Linked DNA regions of Arabidopsis thaliana. The protein of the gene in region 1 interacts with the protein of each later gene in a pairwise test. Each region holds a gene or a part of one and is shown on either strand. Other genes may lie near its edges. The genes, in order: CRK10, PUT2, ANT1 and LAX3.

Region 1 (5,037 bases):
GTCGATAGTGGTTGCTCTTGCTATCTTGATGTTTACTTCGTCTGATCGTTGAACTGGCCCGCTGCAACATTCTGAGTGTTCCAAGTGATTATTCTAGTTGTGCGTAACACCGTAACAGTAAAAATGAGCTAAGGAAAGCGAGATGCAAGGGAGAACCAACAGAAGCATAAGTTTTTCCTCTGTTATTACTAATGGAAAAAAACTTTCTTTTTCATTTTCTAATTCCTTGTCAGATTTCTCAGCTTCTCTTCTTTTTGTTTTGTGTAAGACTTGGTCGGAGTCTTAGATTACGCTGATGATTAAAAACTACTAAAAAAGAAAAAAAAAAGAATATTACGCAAATGTTCTCGATGCATTGACCAAGTCCTCTTCTGGTTCTGGCTCCATTTTCACATGCAGGCCCATAACCAATTTTAACGAGATTTGTTGCATGAAAAGCCGATTGTTTTTCCTTGGCAGTAACGAAAAAAAATTAGTTACTTTTTAAAAACTAGGGTTTTGAATAATATCATTAAAATCAAATAGAACGAACTAGGGTTTTGGCATCATACACCGCCTCATTCAATTATTAACAAAGCTGAGTCTTCTTCACGGAGAAATCACGGCTGAGCTAGGTCTCATATACCTTGCATCAATATCTTGGGCCTTTACTAGGATCGGAGATACATCAAACATAAAATACTTCTCGGTTTTATTTTCTCTTTCCTTATGTATATGTGAATGCCTTTAAAAATTTTGATTGCCTTTTTTCTCGTTTTGGAATAGTCATGAGAAGCTGAGAACCAAAAAGGAAATATTTCTCACCTTTGCAACTAGCTAGATGGAGCTTATGGATGCAAAATTCGTTTTAAAACACATTGTATTCGGATGATGTCAAAATATTTCACATTCATATAGCAAATTCATGTTTATATATTCCGATATTAACTTTAAATATTAAAACTTATATGCTGTAGATTCATATCCGGGTGAAAACACGAAAGGACTTATGATGGAACCATTATATGGAACGACGTCATGTGGAATATCAAGTTATTTAACTTCTCGCGAGTAAGACTATAAAAAGTAATAGAATAATTAGTAACTAACAATATCAGATAACGATAGGCAGATGATTTGGTAATACTATTTTAGTATCACTACATCACAATAACCATACTAGCATATACGATATACAAATTAATAAATTATCGTGCTTAAAACAAAAACCTATTATCAACCAATAATTTCTTCGCATCAGTGGCGACAATTTTTTCAGCCCCAGAATGATTCTTTGAAGAATAGTCAACAAAGATTCCTAATTTCAACAATTCTGTTCAAGGAAAAGTACGAAACAAATTCTACTGCTAGCTAGTTTCTCTCATGTATATCTAAATTCTATTACTAGTAATTAAGATCTTTGAAATCATGCCAACTGCTACATTTATTTTCTCTTGAAAATCCCAACTACCTTTTTTTTGATCAAAAAAAAAAAAGACTTTAGAGTTCAAAGCTTGAATTTAGAGTTATTATGTTTTAAATTTTGACAGTTTTGATAATTTTCTTCATTTTAAAATGATTTTATATTTTCCGTAATTTTTTTCTATATTTCATATATTAAAAAAATAAGTAATGGATTAGTAGCTAAACACAAGAAGTTGGACAAGACCCGACAATTTAATACGAGACGCGTTGACCTTGACCTTGACTTTTCGTCAGCACAAAACGTTATCTACGGTAGTCACTGAGAGAGAACAAACAATCAAATTTGTTTCATATATCACTCAAAGCTTGATGAGAAGAAACACAGATCAAGAAAGCCCAATTATGTCTTATTACTCCTCTTTCTTCTTCCTTTTCCTCTTCTCCTTTCTCACGAGTTTCAGAGTTTCTGCTCAAGATCCCACTTACGTATACCACACCTGTCAAAATACGGCAAATTACACAAGTAACAGCACTTACAACAACAATCTCAAGACCCTTTTGGCTTCTCTTTCTTCCCGCAACGCTTCCTACTCCACCGGATTCCAAAACGCCACCGTCGGCCAAGCTCCAGACAGAGTCACCGGACTTTTCAACTGCCGTGGAGATGTCTCAACGGAAGTTTGCCGTAGATGCGTCTCCTTTGCCGTCAACGACACCTTAACTCGGTGTCCTAACCAGAAAGAAGCCACACTTTATTACGATGAGTGTGTACTTAGATACTCTAACCAGAATATTCTCTCGACACTAATAACCACCGGTGGAGTTATCTTGGTTAACACCCGGAATGTGACATCTAACCAACTAGACCTGTTAAGTGATTTGGTTTTGCCTACTCTGAACCAAGCCGCCACCGTAGCCTTGAACAGTTCCAAAAAATTCGGTACGAGAAAAAACAATTTTACTGCGTTGCAGAGTTTCTATGGACTGGTTCAGTGCACACCTGATCTCACGAGACAAGACTGTTCGCGTTGTCTCCAACTGGTCATCAATCAAATACCTACTGACAGAATTGGTGCAAGAATTATTAATCCGAGCTGTACTTCAAGATACGAGATCTACGCGTTTTACACCGAATCCGCCGTTCCACCACCACCACCACCACCGTCAATTTCTACTCCTCCAGTTTCAGCTCCTCCGCGATCTGGTCAGAGCTCTGTTTTTTTCCTCTGTTTTTTTTTTTTGCCCTGATTTCTTGAAATTGGCAAAACCAATATAGAGAGTTTTCTTCTATCTGATTTTTAAGCAAATAATCTTTGAAATGCAGGAAAAGATGGGAATTCAAAGGTGTTAGTGATAGCCATTGTTGTGCCTATTATAGTGGCTGTTCTGCTTTTTATAGCTGGTTATTGTTTCCTTACAAGAAGGGCAAGGAAGAGTTATTACACACCATCTGCATTTGCTGGTAAAGATTTCAAGTGATAAACGATCTTTAATGTCAATGCTCAGCTTGTTTTTCCTGCTTCAAAGACTTTCATTGTGTAACAGGAGATGATATCACAACAGCAGACTCACTACAGCTTGATTATAGAACAATTCAAACTGCAACAGATGATTTTGTAGAGAGTAATAAGATTGGTCAAGGTGGATTTGGTGAGGTTTACAAGGTAAATTATAGTTCCCTTGAGCTGTGTTTTTTTTTTCTTGAAATTTTAAGCCAACACTTTTGGATAATGGGATGATGCTGATGAAAACAACAGGGTACTTTATCGGATGGGACTGAAGTTGCGGTGAAGCGACTATCAAAGTCATCAGGACAAGGTGAAGTAGAGTTCAAGAACGAGGTTGTTCTTGTTGCAAAGCTACAACATAGAAATCTGGTTAGACTTCTTGGGTTTTGTCTAGACGGAGAAGAAAGAGTACTGGTCTACGAGTATGTGCCCAACAAAAGTCTTGATTACTTCCTCTTTGGTTAGTTGCATTTAATGCTTTGTTTCAATGATTCTTGATACTTGGGGTTACGAATGTTTAGAGATCTCATTGTGATTTATGGATGTGGACAGACCCTGCAAAGAAAGGCCAGCTGGATTGGACTCGACGATACAAGATTATCGGTGGAGTTGCTCGAGGGATTCTGTATCTTCATCAAGACTCACGACTCACAATCATACACCGTGACCTCAAAGCCAGTAACATTCTCTTGGACGCGGATATGAATCCTAAAATTGCAGATTTTGGAATGGCTAGGATCTTTGGATTGGACCAAACCGAAGAGAACACAAGCAGAATAGTTGGTACCTAGTAAGTCTTCCTCATAACTTCTCATAAGTTGAAGTTTTCTGAACATTCTTTTGTTAACATAGTTTTTGTTGTGGGTTTATAAGTTGAAGTTTTCTGAACATCCTTTGGTTAACATAGTTTTTGTTGTGGGTTACAGTGGTTACATGTCTCCCGAGTATGCAATGCATGGTCAGTACTCAATGAAATCTGATGTCTATAGCTTCGGAGTGTTAGTTCTTGAGATTATAAGTGGCAAGAAGAATAGCAGCTTCTACCAAACAGATGGTGCACATGACTTGGTCTCATATGTAAGTTTTAAACCTATCAAGTTCCATATTTACCTGAACATAGTTGCAAGTGTTGATTGATTGAATAATATTCTAGGCTTGGGGGCTTTGGAGTAACGGGCGACCATTAGAACTCGTGGATCCAGCTATTGTAGAAAATTGCCAAAGGAATGAAGTTGTTCGATGTGTCCATATCGGTCTTTTATGTGTTCAAGAAGATCCTGCTGAGCGTCCGACGTTGTCAACCATTGTTCTGATGCTCACTAGTAACACTGTGACTTTACCCGTGCCACGGCAACCCGGTCTTTTCTTTCAGAGTAGAATTGGAAAAGACCCGCTTGATACAGATACAACGAGCAAATCTCTTCTAGGGTCTGTTGACGATGCATCCATCACAGATATACATCCTCGATGATGATGAGTTTTTCCCTTCATACCTGATTCCTGAATCTATTGGTGTTGAAAATAAGTTAAAAACTTCTTTTGTTATAGAATGTTTGTATTGTAATTGTAACCACAAGCAAGTATAAGATATATACCATTTACACGTTTCTCCATGAAGACGTAACAGTGACTTTTCCCTCCAAATTAAGCTTACACAACGATCTAGCAGGTAATTTGATTCAGCATGAAGAGAGTAAAACCAGTAATCGAGAAACGATTCTTAAAGAACTGTGAACTGTTCATAAGCATTTTACAGTGGACACTGTACAACATACAATTACAGATAAACCTGCTATGTTTCTTATGTCCGTGGACAAATAATATAAATGTCATCTGACCATTTTTCTGTTACAACTTTTAAGCTATGATGAGGAACCACATCAATTTTTACGAACTAAATGAGGAAGACTTGCTTGTATACTGATCAGACTCTGATCCTTCAGATACCAGTTTCAGTTGCCTGCTTCGTGGGAAAAATCCCGGTAGGCGAGGCACTGGTAGAGTAATTGTGTTACTAGTCAGCATTAAGATGATTGTTGATAACATTGGACGGTCTTCTGGATTTTCTTGAACACATAACAGCGCGATATGGATGCACCTAGTGACTTCATTACTCTGATAATTC
Region 2 (4,662 bases), on another chromosome or scaffold:
ATTACATTTGAAACCGGTTGAGGTTTTTTCACCACTCCAGAATAGTGAACTAATTCCAAATCTTAATTTATAAAATGTCAGTTTAAAAACAGTATAATCAATGTTAAATGGTTAATTCTCTTGTGCCCACAAAAAAAATAAAGTGGTTAATTATTATAAAGAAAAGCCAACCCAAACCGGTTGAGACTTTGTTCGAGAGAGTATAGAGAGACGACTAGTGTTTTATTAAGGATATTTGGTATTGATTTGTAGCTTTAGGGGGTGTTATTAGTTAATGGATTTTAATAGAATTGAAATCCAACACTAATCCACTGTTATTTAACTAATGATTTTAAATCCAGTTTTAAAATTTAGTGTTATTAGAACTCATTTTTGTAAATTATGCTTAATAGATTTTAAAGTTTAGTGTTATTCAATTAAGATTTTAAATATTTCATTAAAATCCAGTGTTATTCAAAACTAAAATACTGGTAAAATTTTTGTATATTAATTCATTTGAAATGAAATCTCTTTGTAAAATTCTTGGACATATTGCAGAGATTTTAAAATTCATACAAACATATTTTTAAAAGCAATATCAGAAAACAAATCTAAAGTTTAAAGAATTGACTTTAACTCTATAATTGAATAACACCACTTTAAATTGGCGAAAAGCTAAAGAGAATTAGTTGGAACAAAAGCCACAATACTTTGTGTACAGATTAAAAGATTATTTTTTCCAGTTGTGAAAATCCAAAACTCTTTACCAAAAAAAGCCTGCCGTATGTATATAAAGAAGAGAATTTGTTGGTGATAAGATTTCTTTAATTTGAGGCTACACAAAAGGAAGATATTTGAAGTTTTCTCTTGTTTGATTGGTAAGAAATAGTTGTACCGTATTATCACGACATACGGCAATTGCTACATGTGTATCGTGGTACAAACCCAATTAAAGGCTAGCCACTACCCACAAACACCGATCCGTATATAATTTAGTTTTTGAACACGTGCCTAAATTTAATCATGTATTGTTGTCCTTGTCCAATTTAAACAAGGGACCCATGAATTCAACAACCAAAATTCTAATTTTTTTTGCCTGAATTACTTTTTTTTTGGCTTGTTCAATTATCATTTGGGTAATTATTTTTCAAAATACAGTATATATAATATAGGCTTTGAAAGGTTGGTTCATATGATGCAAATTAGACCATGCGTAGTTGCGTATATTATTTTGGTAAGTAAAATGTTTGACTATAGTATAGAACAAACAATAGACAATAGTCTGCACTACAACATAGAATGGTACATTGGTGTCAAGTTTATGATGGGGTACAATGATTTTGGAGAGTGAATGCAAAAAACAAACCAAATAGTTATTATATACAAGTGCCTACTAGTATGAAATTTTTAAATCCCCAATCTTACATATTGGTCCGCAATTGCGAATCATGAATTAAGTGTGGATTGATCTAACTTTAATCCGATCCGCAATACACTAGGTAACCATTCAAAGTTTAATAGTGGTATATGAATTCCATATCTTTTGTTGGGTTAAAAAAAAAAAAAATCTCATACTATATTTCATATATTATGTACATTTTCATTTTGGTTTGAAGTTTCTAAATCATGTGTATTTGGTTATTTTCTAAAAAAAAAAGCATTAGTGAAGAGCTTTCTTCCTCAATTTATAGCAATTTAGTAAACTAATTAAGACTCTCAATTAGATTTTTGTAGTATAAAAAGCACATACGCAAATTTGAGATCCAGATTCCATCTTCCATGATCTCTCACACATTGTAAAAACATTTCTTCCGAGAAGCAAGAATCTTTTTAAAAAGCCACTCGATGACACGAGGCCAAATATATCTGTTTTTCCAATATATAAATAATTGTAATTCATTCTTTTGAAATCTGGGTTTATTCGACAAAAAGGGCTTTGTTTTGTTTTCTTCTTCAAGTATCTCTGGATCGTTCCAAAAGCTTTCATTATTCATCAACTTAACGAACGACGGAGATCTCAAGACACGACCCTCGATTCTCTCACGGTTCGTGCTTCTTCACCTCTCGTAAAGATTTATTCTTTTGTCATCGTTCACTAATTTTGACTTTTGAGTGATCTAGTTCTGAGATCTTTTAGTCTAAGCTCCTTTTTCGTTCTTTTGGATTTTGTTAATGCATATTGAAGATACCCATCTGAGAAAAGTAATAAAAAACTGTCCTTTTTTGCTTTCCCAATTACAACGAACCCTAAATTCAAAATTCAGAATCTGTAGCAAATTTGAGTAATTTATAAGGATTGTTGCAGATAACGAAAACCTTATTGGGATGTGGGAGAGTTCTAATCCGTTTAAAATCTGGATGACGTTATGCAGAAGCGGAGAATCATCACTGTGAACCCCTCCGCGTCTATTGAGATGAGTCAGTACGAGAATAATGAAGTTCCTTACTCAAGTGTCGGTGCTGATGAGGTTCCATCATCACCGCCTAAAGCTACCGATAAGATTCGGAAAGTTTCCATGTTGCCACTTGTTTTCCTCATATTCTATGAAGTCTCAGGAGGTCCTTTTGGTGTAGAGGATAGTGTGAATGCAGCAGGACCATTATTAGCTCTTCTAGGGTTTGTGATCTTTCCTTTCATTTGGAGTATCCCTGAGGCTTTGATTACTGCGGAGATGGGAACAATGTATCCCGAGAATGGTGGTTATGTTGTGTGGGTTTCCTCTGCTTTGGGACCTTTTTGGGGGTTTCAGCAAGGTTGGATGAAATGGCTTAGTGGTGTTATTGATAACGCTTTGTATCCTGTTCTGTTTCTTGACTATTTGAAGTCTGGAGTCCCGGCTTTAGGTAGCGGTTTACCGAGAGTTGCATCGATCTTGGTGCTGACTATTTTGTTGACGTATCTGAACTACAGGGGACTAACTATAGTTGGTTGGGTTGCTGTGCTTATGGGAGTTTTCTCCATCCTTCCGTTTGCTGTGATGGGTTTGATTTCGATTCCGCAGCTAGAGCCTTCGAGATGGCTTGTGATGGACTTAGGGAATGTGAACTGGAATTTGTATCTTAACACGCTTTTCTGGAATCTAAACTATTGGGACTCGATTAGTACACTAGCTGGTGAAGTTGAAAACCCCAACCATACACTTCCAAAGGCTTTGTTTTATGGTGTGATCTTAGTTGCTTGTTCTTACATCTTCCCTCTTTTGGCTGGAATCGGGGCAATCCCGCTAGAGCGTGAGAAATGGACAGATGGGTATTTTTCTGATGTGGCCAAAGCTCTTGGTGGAGCGTGGTTGAGATGGTGGGTTCAAGCGGCTGCAGCTACATCAAACATGGGAATGTTTATAGCCGAGATGAGTAGTGACTCTTTTCAGCTTCTCGGAATGGCTGAGCGCGGTATGCTTCCCGAGTTCTTTGCCAAAAGGTCACGTTACGGGACACCTTTACTAGGGATTCTGTTTTCAGCGTCAGGTGTTGTTCTCTTGTCTTGGCTAAGCTTTCAAGAGATTGTAGCTGCAGAGAACTTACTCTACTGCGTTGGTATGATCTTAGAGTTTATAGCGTTTGTTAGAATGAGAATGAAACACCCTGCTGCATCAAGACCGTACAAGATACCTATTGGAACCACAGGTTCGATCCTCATGTGTATTCCTCCAACCATACTGATCTGTGCTGTTGTAGCACTCTCGTCTCTTAAAGTAGCTGCAGTGAGCATTGTGATGATGATCATTGGTTTCCTGATACATCCTTTACTGAACCATATGGATCGAAAGAGATGGGTCAAATTCTCCATCAGTTCTGACTTACCGGACCTTCAACAGCAGACTCGGGAATACGAAGAAACTCTAATACGTTAAGAATGTCCTTAGTTATTTCCCTCGTCTATGTTAAGTACAGAGCTTGGAAGCTATAGCCAAAAAAGCTTAATTTCTCATAGTCTGTACTCTGTTTTATTCACAGCTTGTTCTAAAGTTGTAGTTTTTTCGTAAAGTTAGGTCATCGTTAGCACGGTTCCAATAAAATGTGCAATGTTTGTATCTCTGTTATGTTTTTGTCGTTGCCATTGTCGATTTGAAACATGGCTTTGGAAATTTGAAGTCTTTGAACAAAACCTTCGATCAAAGTCTGGTCAACAGTTGCAAAGCTTGGATCTTTGGATAAGTTTTCATCACCAATGATTGGAAAGAGAGAAAAAACCCTCACAAAACCCCAAAAAGCAGTATCAGTGTTTGACACGCAAACAAAATCGCTATAGTCTCAATTGATCGGAGGTTCTATCACCATCGTCTCCATCTGCATAATTTATTAAATATTTAGGACTTGTCATTGATATGGACACTCTCAAAACAGAGAACCACAATTTCTTCAATCCTTTCCAGGATATGACAAGTACAACGATATGGGTGAGTTTTGTTTTCTTCTTAAAGCATCGCTCAATCTTCAGACAACCCTAGATTCTCTCACGGTTTGTACTTCTTTACCTCTCGTAAATGTTTAGACTTTCGTATAAGGATCCAAGAATTTATCTGATTGTTTTTTTTTCTTTGTTTCTTTGTGTTGATTCAGAAGGGAAGTATCATTAGTTCATTACCATGGGAGACTATAACATGAATGAATTTGCTTATGGTAATCTTTACGATGATGATGATGGCGATGTTGGTGGATCGTCTAAAGAAGGAAACAATT
Region 3 (4,851 bases), on another chromosome or scaffold:
GAAACTTCTCATTCGCAAGTTCAGTTCAGAGATTGTATTGCGAATACGCATAAAACTACTCCTCTTCACACAGTGGTGCATTCTCTTCCGGTAACTGAACATTCCACTTTGCAGAAGCCTACATCTTCCCAGTCACAAGTTGAGTTAAGAGAGTCTATTGCGGATACTCATGGAACTACTCCTCTTCAAACAGAGATTTCTTCTCTTCCATTACCTCAACACTTCGTTTTGCAGAAGCCCGCAACTTCTCAATCACAAGCGGATACACACGAAACTACTCTTCTTCACACAATACTGCCTTCTCTTCCTGTACCTGAACTATGTACTTTGCAGAAGCCTGCAACTTCTCAATCACAAGCTGAGTTAAGAGCGAATACGCGCAAAGCTACTCTTGTTCACGCAGCAGCGATGCCTTCTCTTCCTGTACCTGAACATTACAGTCTACAGAAGCCTTCAACTTCTCAATCACAAGCTGAGTTAAGAGCGAAGACGCGCAAAGCTACTCTTGTTCACGCAGCAGCGATACCTTCTCTTCCTGTACCTGAACATTACAGTCTACTCAAGCCTTCAACTTCTCAATCACAAGCTGAGGTAAGAACGTTGACACACAAAGCTACCCATGTTCACACAGCGATGCCTTCCCTTTCTGTAACTGAACATTGCACTTTGCAGAAGCCTGCAACTTCTCAATCGCAAGCTGAAACTAGTCGTGTTCAAACTGTGGAACCTGAGGCCTGTCCTGATTTCACCTCAGTAGACAAACCGGAGATAGTTATGAGTCGCAGTCTCACAACCAGGAAAGCTCCAGCACCAAAGAGATCACTGCAAGAAAGTAGGAAGAATCAGGATAGAAGAGTGGAGATCCACAGGAGGCGTGCGGGTCACAAGCCCATAAGGTTTCCAAGAGTGATGTGTAGCTCTGTTGTTATGGATAATGAGAAGCTGAGAGTGTTGAATCTGGAGAAGAAGGTTGAGAAAGCGGGAGGGTTGAACGAATGGGTTGGATCTATAGGATTAGGGAGAGAGTTTGAGAGGATGTTGAGAGGACAGAGGATGAGTAAGTTTCAGATGGCGAATTTGACAATGGAGAAGCTTAAGCAGATGGGTGCTTTAGCCGTTGGGCCAAGAAGAAAGCTTATACATGCAATAGGTTGTGTCTATCACCCACATTGTCTACGTGCTTCCTTTAACTGAGAACTATCTGTTAGAGTTTAGTTGAGGCCAATAAAACTTAGCTTACGCTTTATTGATGTTCAACTAGTATTGTTTTGGTTATTGATACTCTTTGGACCATATATGTAAAACAGAGCAACAATCCACTGTTTGATGTGATCATTGCATCGTGCTATTTTGTATTTGACTATTTGGGGATCAGTCGTCTATTAGCGTTGCACATGCAATATCATTATATTGCTTCTTCTTCTTTTTTTCAATCACTAAAGGATCTAGAACCAGAAACAAAAAGTCCAAAATTCAGGTTAATCATTATAGTTTTGCTAATTGGAAACGTATGCAATGACTAAACATAAAATTTATAGTAGAAACACTAGAACCCTAATTCTTCAATTTCAACATAAATCTTTCAATTTGAGTGGAATCATTCAAAACTTGATTCCCCTAACTTGAAAGTAATTATTTGAATGTAAGAATTAAAAAAAGCGTATTTTGTAAAGTATCACGACTAAAACATGCTAGTTGAGTTAAACCTTCATAAAAAATGAAACATATTATTTGAGTTTCGAGAAAGAAAAAAAAAAAACATTTTATTTGAGTTGTCGCAGACACGATCACGATGTACCCTATATATAGTTCCAATTAGCATTATTTATCCCATCAACAACAACTATTATGTCAGAAATATTGAATTAGTAAAAGAAACAAATCTTATCTGGGCCATCCATTTGCACACAGACCAATGGACGTAGAGCGTGGTAGGCACGAGCCAGATGTGAGGTACCTTGAGGTGCCACGTCACATTGAGGAATCTTTGGCGGGGTTTCATTGTTTACCTATAAAAATGGCGGCCGCAAAGTTTCGTACGTCTCCGATGTTTCAATCGTGAAATCGAAACAAACAAAATAATTAAAAAAAGAAATAAGAGGAGGCGATGGCGATCAAAGACCTGACGGCGACGACCGGTGATTCATCTCTTCCTTTAATAAAATCTCCGCCGTCTGAAACAACCGGCGGTGACAGAACCTCTGCTCTTCAAACGCTCGGTAACATTATCGTCTCCATCGTCGGTACAGGCGTCCTTGGTCTTCCTTACGCATTCCGCATCGCCGGTTGGTTAGCCGGATCTCTCGGTGTCATTATCGTCGGATTCGCCACCTATTACTGCATGCTCCTCCTCGTTAGTATACCTTTTTCCAAATCCTTAAATTGAGTATAATTTATTGACTTCTCCAATCGACTTCAACAACGTAATCTAATTGGATTGTTTTAATATGCAGATTCAGTGCAGAGATAAGCTAGAATCGGAAGAAGGAGAAGAAGAATCGAAAACTTATGGTGATTTAGGTTTCAAATGTATGGGAACAAAAGGTCGATACTTAACCGAATTCCTCATTTTCACTGCTCAATGTGGTGGATCAGTAGCGTATTTAGTGTTCATAGGTCGAAACTTGTCATCCATATTTAGTTCGTATGGGTTAAGTATGGTTTCTTTCATATTGATTCTGGTTCCAATCGAAGTTGGATTGTCGTGGATCACTTCTTTATCAGCTCTCTCGCCTTTCAGTATCTTTGCTGATATATGCAACATCATAGCAATGTGTTTTGTTGTCAAAGAAAATGTGGAAATGGTGATTGAAGGAGACTTCTCGTTTAGTGATAGAACTGCTATTTCGTCTACCATTGGTGGTTTACCTTTTGCTGGAGGAGTTGCGGTGTTCTGTTTTGAGGGTTTTGCAATGACGTTGGCTTTGGAGAGTTCTATGAGGGAAAGAGAAGCTTTCCCTAAATTGTTAGCTAAAGTGCTTGCCGGGATTACGTTTGTCTATGTGTTGTTCGGGTTTTGTGGTTATATGGCTTATGGTGATCAAACAAAGGATATCATCACTCTTAACCTCCCAAATAATTGGTCTGCCATTGCTGTTCAGGTAAAATTATGCCAATTCTAATGTTTTTACTTCTTCTGGGAACTTATGTTTCTCGCATTTCATTATGATTATAGATTCATATGCTCTGTTCTTGCTTATGATAACCATTTTCAATAGATTTGTGTGGAAACTTGTTAATCATTTGAATTCAACACTTTTTCTGTTGTTTTTGGTTTAAACAGATTGGGTTATGTGTGGGATTGACGTTTACATTTCCGATCATGGTACATCCGCTTAACGAGATCATAGAGCAGAAACTGAAGAGGATAGACTGGCTTCAAAAGCATCATAATGGGTACAGCAACGAAACAGGTTCAGTCTCAAAATTTGCAATCTTTACAACGAGGACACTTTTGGTGGTAGGACTTGCAGCAATCGCGAGTTTAGTCCCAGGGTTTGGTACATTTGCATCTCTTGTTGGAAGTACTTTGTGCGCACTCATCTCCTTTGTGTTGCCGGCTTCTTATCACCTCACGCTGCTCGGTCCATCACTAAATGTATGGAACAAATCCATCGACGTATTCATTGTGATTTGCGGGTTGATCTTTGCTGTTTATGGTACGTACAACACAATCGTCGGAGTGTGAAAAGGGATAGCATGTGATCTGTGTAAAGCAACGAATATAACTACAAGAAGTTTGGTAAGACAGACAAGAAAAAATGTATAGATCTTTTACATGAATCTGAAATAGAAAGATGGTGAGAAAGTTGAGATTGTTGTATGATCATTTAATGGTGTCAGGATGCAGAGTCTTAAACAATTAACACACCGATTTTCTTTTTTAGTCTTCCTAATTCAATTTTCCAGATTTTGTTTTTATTTTTCTTTAATTTTTAAACTTAAGTATGAAATTGGTAATCCTAATCAATTTTTCTGTTACTCAGGTAACTAAAACCACTAATGAAAACTCGACCCACGCGCTGTTGGTCCTCTTATGTTTTCATTTATGCAAAAAAAAAACAAATCGGAGGGTTATATAGTCCACGGATTTTTGTCTCACGCGCTAAACGCGCTTAAGGTGTGCGTGTTTTGATTCAGTTCATACACGCGTGTAGTTTTTTTTTAAAATCTTTTTAATTTCCGTATTTAATCGTTTTAAGGCGCAAACGATGGACTTCTCTTGGGCTTTTCTTAGTTTTCGTTTAACTTGTTGGCCCATATATGATCTGTTTCTTTTTTGTTTTTCGCCAACCATATATGATCTGTTTATTATCAATAAAATTTCACTTCAGAGATGGAAAAAAAGGAAGTAACGATCCCATGCCAAAAGAAAAAAAAAAAAAGAAAAAAAAAAAAAGAAAAGAAAAGAAAAGGCGATGCATTACCAACTTTTTTAATATTGATCCTCACCATCGAAACCTCATTATGCGTCTCGCCGGAGCTCGCCGGAGCTCGCCGGAATATACTTTTTGACTCCCAGTCATTATGCGTGGATCTTTTACATGAATCTGAAATAGAAAGATGGTGAGAAAGTTGAGATTTGTTGTATGATCATTTAATGGTGTCAGGATGCAGTCTCTTAAACAATTAACACACCGATTTTCTTTTTTAGTCTTCCTAATTCAATTTTCCAGATTTTGTTTTTACTTTTCTTTAATTTTTAACTTAAGTATGAAATTGGTAATTTTTCAATTTAATTAAACTTAATTTTTAATTCAATTTTTCTGTTACTCAGGTAACTAATTTCTTATGCACTAAAATCACCTAACTAGCTTGAAACAAAAAATAATTTAGAGTTAAGAGTTTGGA
Region 4 (5,318 bases), on another chromosome or scaffold:
ATTGGCATCTTTACTAGAAAATATTTTAGGATCAAATGTAATGTTATTTTCTGATCTTGAAGTGAGACTGGCTTTTTAAGGGAGGAAGAAAGAATAACTTGCATGGAGAGTCTATCGGTACAATTATAATAATCGGTTGTAGTACTATATGTGTTTTCAAATAATTAAGGTTCCTTGTTTTGGAATATGGGAAAGAGTTAGTTAGTGTTATTCGTTTCCTGATGTTTCATGCAAGTATTCTTTGGGATGCTGTTAAGGTAATCAAAGTCCAAATGGCCAAGGATCTATACTGTATGTGGCTTTTTATCTGTCTATTTGTATCTTCTATTATTGAATTTGGATAATCTTGTTGATATTGATTATTTTAGCCTTCATGTCATGGGTCAATTCATCTACCTACTGATATATTAGGCCTAATTAATGAATCATATGGCCCATTTATGTCGAACTCAATCTCAATTGTTCGGTCCATTCTTATATTCTGCTTTTTGAATATTACACCATTAATAAATTTGTATAGTCATGATCCTTTTTTTGGTTAAACAGATTTTCTGACGAAGATAAATTGATGAAAATCAAAACAAATCTCACAATCTTTGTCGTTATGGGAACCATCTGTAACCATCCAGTAGAATCGAGTTCCTGGTTTCAAGATGTCAAATTATTTAACTACAATGACTCGCCATTTTTTCAGTATTATTACCAATGATATCTGAATATCTGCTCTATTTAGGGACGACAATATTATATCTTTTGGAGATATCTCAATAGCCTAAATAAGGTTGAATCACAAAAAAAAAAAAAAAAAAAAAAACATTTGAAAATGCATATTTTAATGTCAATTGGCGATGAGTCTTCTTTCCGCTGCCATCCATTTTGGCCGGGTTAAAAAGCTATAAAGATCTAAAATGATGATACCTTCTCATTAATAATTCGATCCATTGTAAAAGTATGGGGCTAAAAAGGAGACATTTCTAAGAAATTAGTGAGTTAAATAAAGCTTAGACAGCTAGACACGTGTGGTAATTATGTTTACCACTAATCCCACCTGATTAGCAATCATTCTTTCCATTGGATCCATCTCCAATCCTCGATTACCTCACAAATCACTATTTCTTCCTCTCTTTTAACCAAGTTTTTCTACTTCTAAATCAAGCGTTTGGATGTGCGATGCCATATGGTAGACAAAGGCATAAATTTATGTAATTTCGAGTTCCAGGTAACAGCTATGTAATATAATCGGACAAAACATAAAAACTTAGAAATATAATTGATTATTCTACATAAAGATCGTTATCATCCTCATCACAAGAAGGAGGAAAGGACCAATATGTTTTATTCATTGTTTCTAGTTGTTACAATCATCATGATTCAAATAATTGTTAATGATAATAATAGTTTAGCCTTTCTTTCAAAAAAAAAAAACATCATTGTCATCACTTCTATTTTCAATTTACAATTAGTCTACTCTCACTACTTTAAACTTTAAAATCTATAATTAGCTAACCCTCTTTTTTTGCATATTATCGGGGTCAATATATAATTAACAATCTCAAACCGGGCCTACCCGTTCGTGTAATGCTCCAGAAATATGGCCCATAAGCCCAACAATCAAATCAAGCCCATTAAAAAAACAACGCCACGCTCGCCGAAAACAGTAACAGTCACAAGTAGGTGACATAACTCAGTCACCAACCAATCATAAACCGATATCCCCATGACAACTCGTGAGCTGTGACTAAAGACTTCGTCCCCCGACACTCGTTACTCAATAATTGCACACAGAGCAAAAGAAAGGAAACAAAACCCATAAAACAAATAAATAAATGAAAAAGCTTTTCACTAGTCTATTTAAAGAGTGGAAGTAAAGAAGCTAAAGAAACTGAGAGAAGAAGAGAAAAATGGCGGCAGAGAAAATAGAGACAGTGGTCGCAGGGAATTACTTAGAAATGGAGAGGGAAGAAGAAAACATAAGTGGTAACAAGAAATCTTCAACTAAAACAAAACTCTCTAATTTCTTCTGGCATGGTGGTTCTGTCTACGATGCTTGGTTTAGTTGTGCTTCAAATCAGGTATGTACTTCCCACAGATTTAGTCTTATATATAGATGTGTATGTATCGTCTTCTATAGCTAAATTGTTATAAAAATGGCAGGTGGCACAAGTTCTGTTGACATTACCATACTCGTTCTCACAACTTGGGATGATGTCGGGAATTTTGTTTCAACTCTTTTATGGATTAATGGGAAGTTGGACTGCTTATCTCATTAGTGTTCTTTACGTTGAATATCGAACTCGTAAAGAACGAGAAAAATTCGATTTCCGTAACCACGTTATTCAGGTTTTATTCCACCTCTAATTCTTGTGACTCGTTATAATTTTTTATTTTTTTGGTGGTATTATTGAATTTTAACTTTTTGTTTTTTTTTGTTTGTGTAAAAAAGTGGTTTGAGGTGTTAGATGGATTGTTGGGGAAACATTGGAGGAACCTTGGATTGATCTTTAACTGCACTTTTCTTCTCTTTGGATCTGTTATTCAGCTCATTGCTTGTGCTAGGTAAATTAATAATCAATGTTCATTTTCTTTATTATATGGTTTTTTCATATTGAAAATTAATTAATATAAAAAATGATTTGCAGCAATATATATTATATTAATGACAAATTGGACAAGAGGACATGGACATACATATTTGGGGCGTGCTGTGCAACAACTGTTTTTATTCCTTCCTTCCACAATTATAGAATTTGGTCATTCCTCGGACTCGCTATGACCACTTACACTTCTTGGTATCTCACCATTGCTTCACTCCTTCATGGCCAGGTCATTATAATTAACACAAATCTTGTTTTGATTATTATAAGATATAGACATATAGTCCTGGTTATTGTTGTTTAATATATTTATTTTTCATATAAAAAAGGCTGAGGATGTGAAACACTCTGGTCCAACCACAATGGTGCTTTACTTCACCGGAGCCACCAACATTCTCTACACCTTTGGTGGCCACGCCGTCACAGTGTAAGTATTTTTTTTTTGTTTGGAAAAATAAAATGGCTTAATTAATGGCTTAACTAATTATGTATTGGAAATTTGAAAAAATATAATAGGGAGATAATGCACGCTATGTGGAAACCGCAAAAGTTCAAGGCGATATATCTACTAGCGACCATATATGTACTAACGCTAACGCTACCATCCGCGTCTGCGGTTTATTGGGCGTTTGGCGATAAGCTACTAACTCATTCCAATGCGCTCTCTCTTCTCCCTAAGACTGGTTTTAGAGATACCGCAGTGATCCTCATGCTCATTCATCAATTTATAACGTTCGGATTCGCGTCTACACCGTTATATTTTGTGTGGGAGAAATTGATAGGTGTGCATGAGACGAAGAGCATGTTCAAAAGAGCCATGGCTAGATTACCCGTGGTTGTACCCATATGGTTCTTAGCCATTATCTTCCCCTTTTTCGGACCAATCAATTCCGCGGTCGGATCTCTCTTAGTTAGCTTCACTGTCTACATCATCCCCGCATTGGCTCATATGCTTACCTTTGCTCCTGCTCCTTCAAGAGAGGTTAGATTTCCAACTTCCAAAATATCTATTTTAAAATTATAATTGTTTCATAAAAAGCTTGTTACAATTTTAGTATAAGTTTACAAAGAATAATTGGAAATAGTATATTATTAGTTTATATTAAAATTATTATATAGTATCATAGATTATGTAAAAATAGCTAAAATAATATTTTGGTATATCTAATTTTTGTTAAGTTTGATATATCGTAAATAGAATGCGGTGGAGAGGCCACCGAGAGTGGTAGGAGGATGGATGGGGACTTACTGCATAAACATATTTGTGGTGGTTTGGGTATTCGTAGTTGGGTTCGGGTTTGGAGGATGGGCAAGTATGGTCAACTTTGTTCGCCAGATCGACACTTTTGGTCTCTTTACCAAATGCTACCAATGCCCTCCTCACAAGCCATGATATACAAATTTGCCATTCAAGACCTTCTAGAAAGAGAGTTTCATATAAGGGGGTTTTGATTTCGAGATCTAATATATATAAGTTACTACATCCAATTTTTTTTTAGTATTTATTAAAAATCACATCTCTTTGTAATTGTTTGACGACAATAATCTTTTACCTCGGGTTTGTTTAATTTGTTATGTTGAGTTATTTTTGGTAAATTGGGTTTTTTTTGTTCCTTAGTTAAGGTGTGATGGCTATCTTAGGCCAACCCTATTATTATTTAGTGTTCTTCTATAGCTCAAGAAAGTTTCATGTGTGTTTTGTGTTTAATGATCTCGTTATTCTCTTTTACTGAGATTTAATTTCATCGTCATTTGAAGTGCACTGAGTTTTTGATGAAAATTGACTATAAATTCTGCGATCAGTCCAAATGAAATGATATGGAAATACATGATTTAAAATCATACAACCTCGTGCATCTATACTCTATAGTAAAATAAATTTATGTGGGTAAGATTATGAGAGTTTTATTTTAGAATACATTAGATTATCTTTGAAGCAATCAAATATTGATCTAAATTAACTTTTTTTCTTCTGAATGTGAGTGATCCCGATCTGAATCCATCATGGGCAAATTAGCATCACATCACAAAAAGGGAAATGAAAGGCGTATCTTTATAAAAGAAGCAAAAGGCAATGGCAGGCTCTGTGTCAGTGTTGTTAGTACATAATTAGGCAGACTTTTTACACCAATTGATTCAATGGTTGGTGCTTGGTAAAGTCAAATAACTGATCAATCACATATGATTATTCGTTTAGTTAGATCATTTTTAAATAAAACCAAAATTGGTTACAAATTTTGATAGATGTATCACAAACAAAACAAAAATAAAGATGAAATAGTAATTCATCGCGATATCATCATTGAATAAAAACAATCAGAGAAGTAAACATATATTAGAAAAAAAACTTAAAGATGCAATAGTCATAGAAAACTCTAAAAGATCATTTAAATGAAACTAGTACTTAATACACTGCTCTTGTTAGTTCATGATTTGAACTAGTTTTCATATGACGTAATTAAGGAACAAGGTAGACAACAACAACAACATAAGCGATATATCGATATAGCTCGTAATAATTAAGTTGGAACAAACTCACTATCATAGTACCATGTCTACCCGAAAACTGACATTTGGGTTGAGTTTGCGAGATGGTTACATTTGACTAACAACTTCATATTATTATTAGGTACTATCGAAAATGAAACCTTTTTGGGGGTCAAAATCCAAAAAAAATGAAAATCAGTTTTTAAAAAAGCATTTAAACTCATAAAAATATTTCAT

Evidence for each region.
Region 2: the proteins of CRK10 (region 1) and PUT2 interact in a protein complementation assay, tested with the Arabidopsis thaliana proteins (one large-scale study listed by BioGRID).
Region 3: the proteins of CRK10 (region 1) and ANT1 interact in a protein complementation assay, tested with the Arabidopsis thaliana proteins (one large-scale study listed by BioGRID).
Region 4: the proteins of CRK10 (region 1) and LAX3 interact in a protein complementation assay, tested with the Arabidopsis thaliana proteins (one large-scale study listed by BioGRID).

The regions. Positions count from the first base shown.
Region 1 is NC_003075.7:12,136,398-12,141,434, forward strand, and holds CRK10 (cysteine-rich RLK (RECEPTOR-like protein kinase) 10), read left to right. Parts: upstream 1-1,597; 5' UTR 1,598-1,773; coding exon 1,774-2,608; intron 2,609-2,728; coding exon 2,729-2,866; intron 2,867-2,949; coding exon 2,950-3,068; intron 3,069-3,161; coding exon 3,162-3,372; intron 3,373-3,464; coding exon 3,465-3,702; coding exon of another isoform or gene 3,703-3,703; exon of another isoform or gene 3,704-3,834; intron 3,835-3,838; coding exon 3,839-3,989; coding exon of another isoform or gene 3,990-4,049; exon of another isoform or gene 4,050-4,065; coding exon 4,066-4,383; 3' UTR 4,384-4,525; downstream 4,526-5,037. Other genes in the region: CRK11 (cysteine-rich RLK (RECEPTOR-like protein kinase) 11), read right to left, coding at 4,800-5,037.
Region 2 is NC_003070.9:11,418,046-11,422,707, reverse strand, and holds PUT2 (Amino acid permease family protein), read left to right. Parts: upstream 1-1,746; 5' UTR 1,747-2,024; intron 2,025-2,284; 5' UTR 2,285-2,345; coding exon 2,346-3,833; 3' UTR 3,834-4,119; downstream 4,120-4,662. Other genes in the region: PUT1 (Amino acid permease family protein), read left to right, coding at 4,569-4,662. UniProt on the Arabidopsis thaliana protein: Probable cell membrane polyamine/proton symporter involved in the polyamine uptake in cells.
Region 3 is NC_003074.8:3,756,416-3,761,266, forward strand, and holds ANT1 (aromatic and neutral transporter 1), read left to right. Parts: upstream 1-2,036; 5' UTR 2,037-2,107; coding exon 2,108-2,353; intron 2,354-2,453; coding exon 2,454-3,101; intron 3,102-3,283; coding exon 3,284-3,688; 3' UTR 3,689-3,742; exon of another isoform or gene 3,743-3,963; intron 3,964-3,986; 3' UTR 3,987-4,336; downstream 4,337-4,851. Other genes in the region: AT3G11890 (Sterile alpha motif (SAM) domain-containing protein), read left to right, coding at 1-1,194. UniProt on the Arabidopsis thaliana protein: Translocates aromatic and neutral amino acids such as tyrosine, tryptophan, phenylalanine, histidine, proline, leucine, valine, glutamine, as well as arginine. Transports the auxins indole-3-acetic acid (IAA) and 2,4-dichlorophenoxyacetic acid (2,4-D).
Region 4 is NC_003070.9:29,199,901-29,205,218, reverse strand, and holds LAX3 (uncharacterized protein), read left to right. Parts: upstream 1-1,800; 5' UTR 1,801-1,901; coding exon 1,902-2,072; intron 2,073-2,154; coding exon 2,155-2,340; intron 2,341-2,443; coding exon 2,444-2,556; intron 2,557-2,639; coding exon 2,640-2,823; intron 2,824-2,923; coding exon 2,924-3,021; intron 3,022-3,110; coding exon 3,111-3,576; intron 3,577-3,792; coding exon 3,793-3,987; 3' UTR 3,988-4,802; downstream 4,803-5,318. Other genes in the region: AT1G77700 (Pathogenesis-related thaumatin superfamily protein), read right to left, coding at 1-71, 397-472. UniProt on the Arabidopsis thaliana protein: Carrier protein involved in proton-driven auxin influx.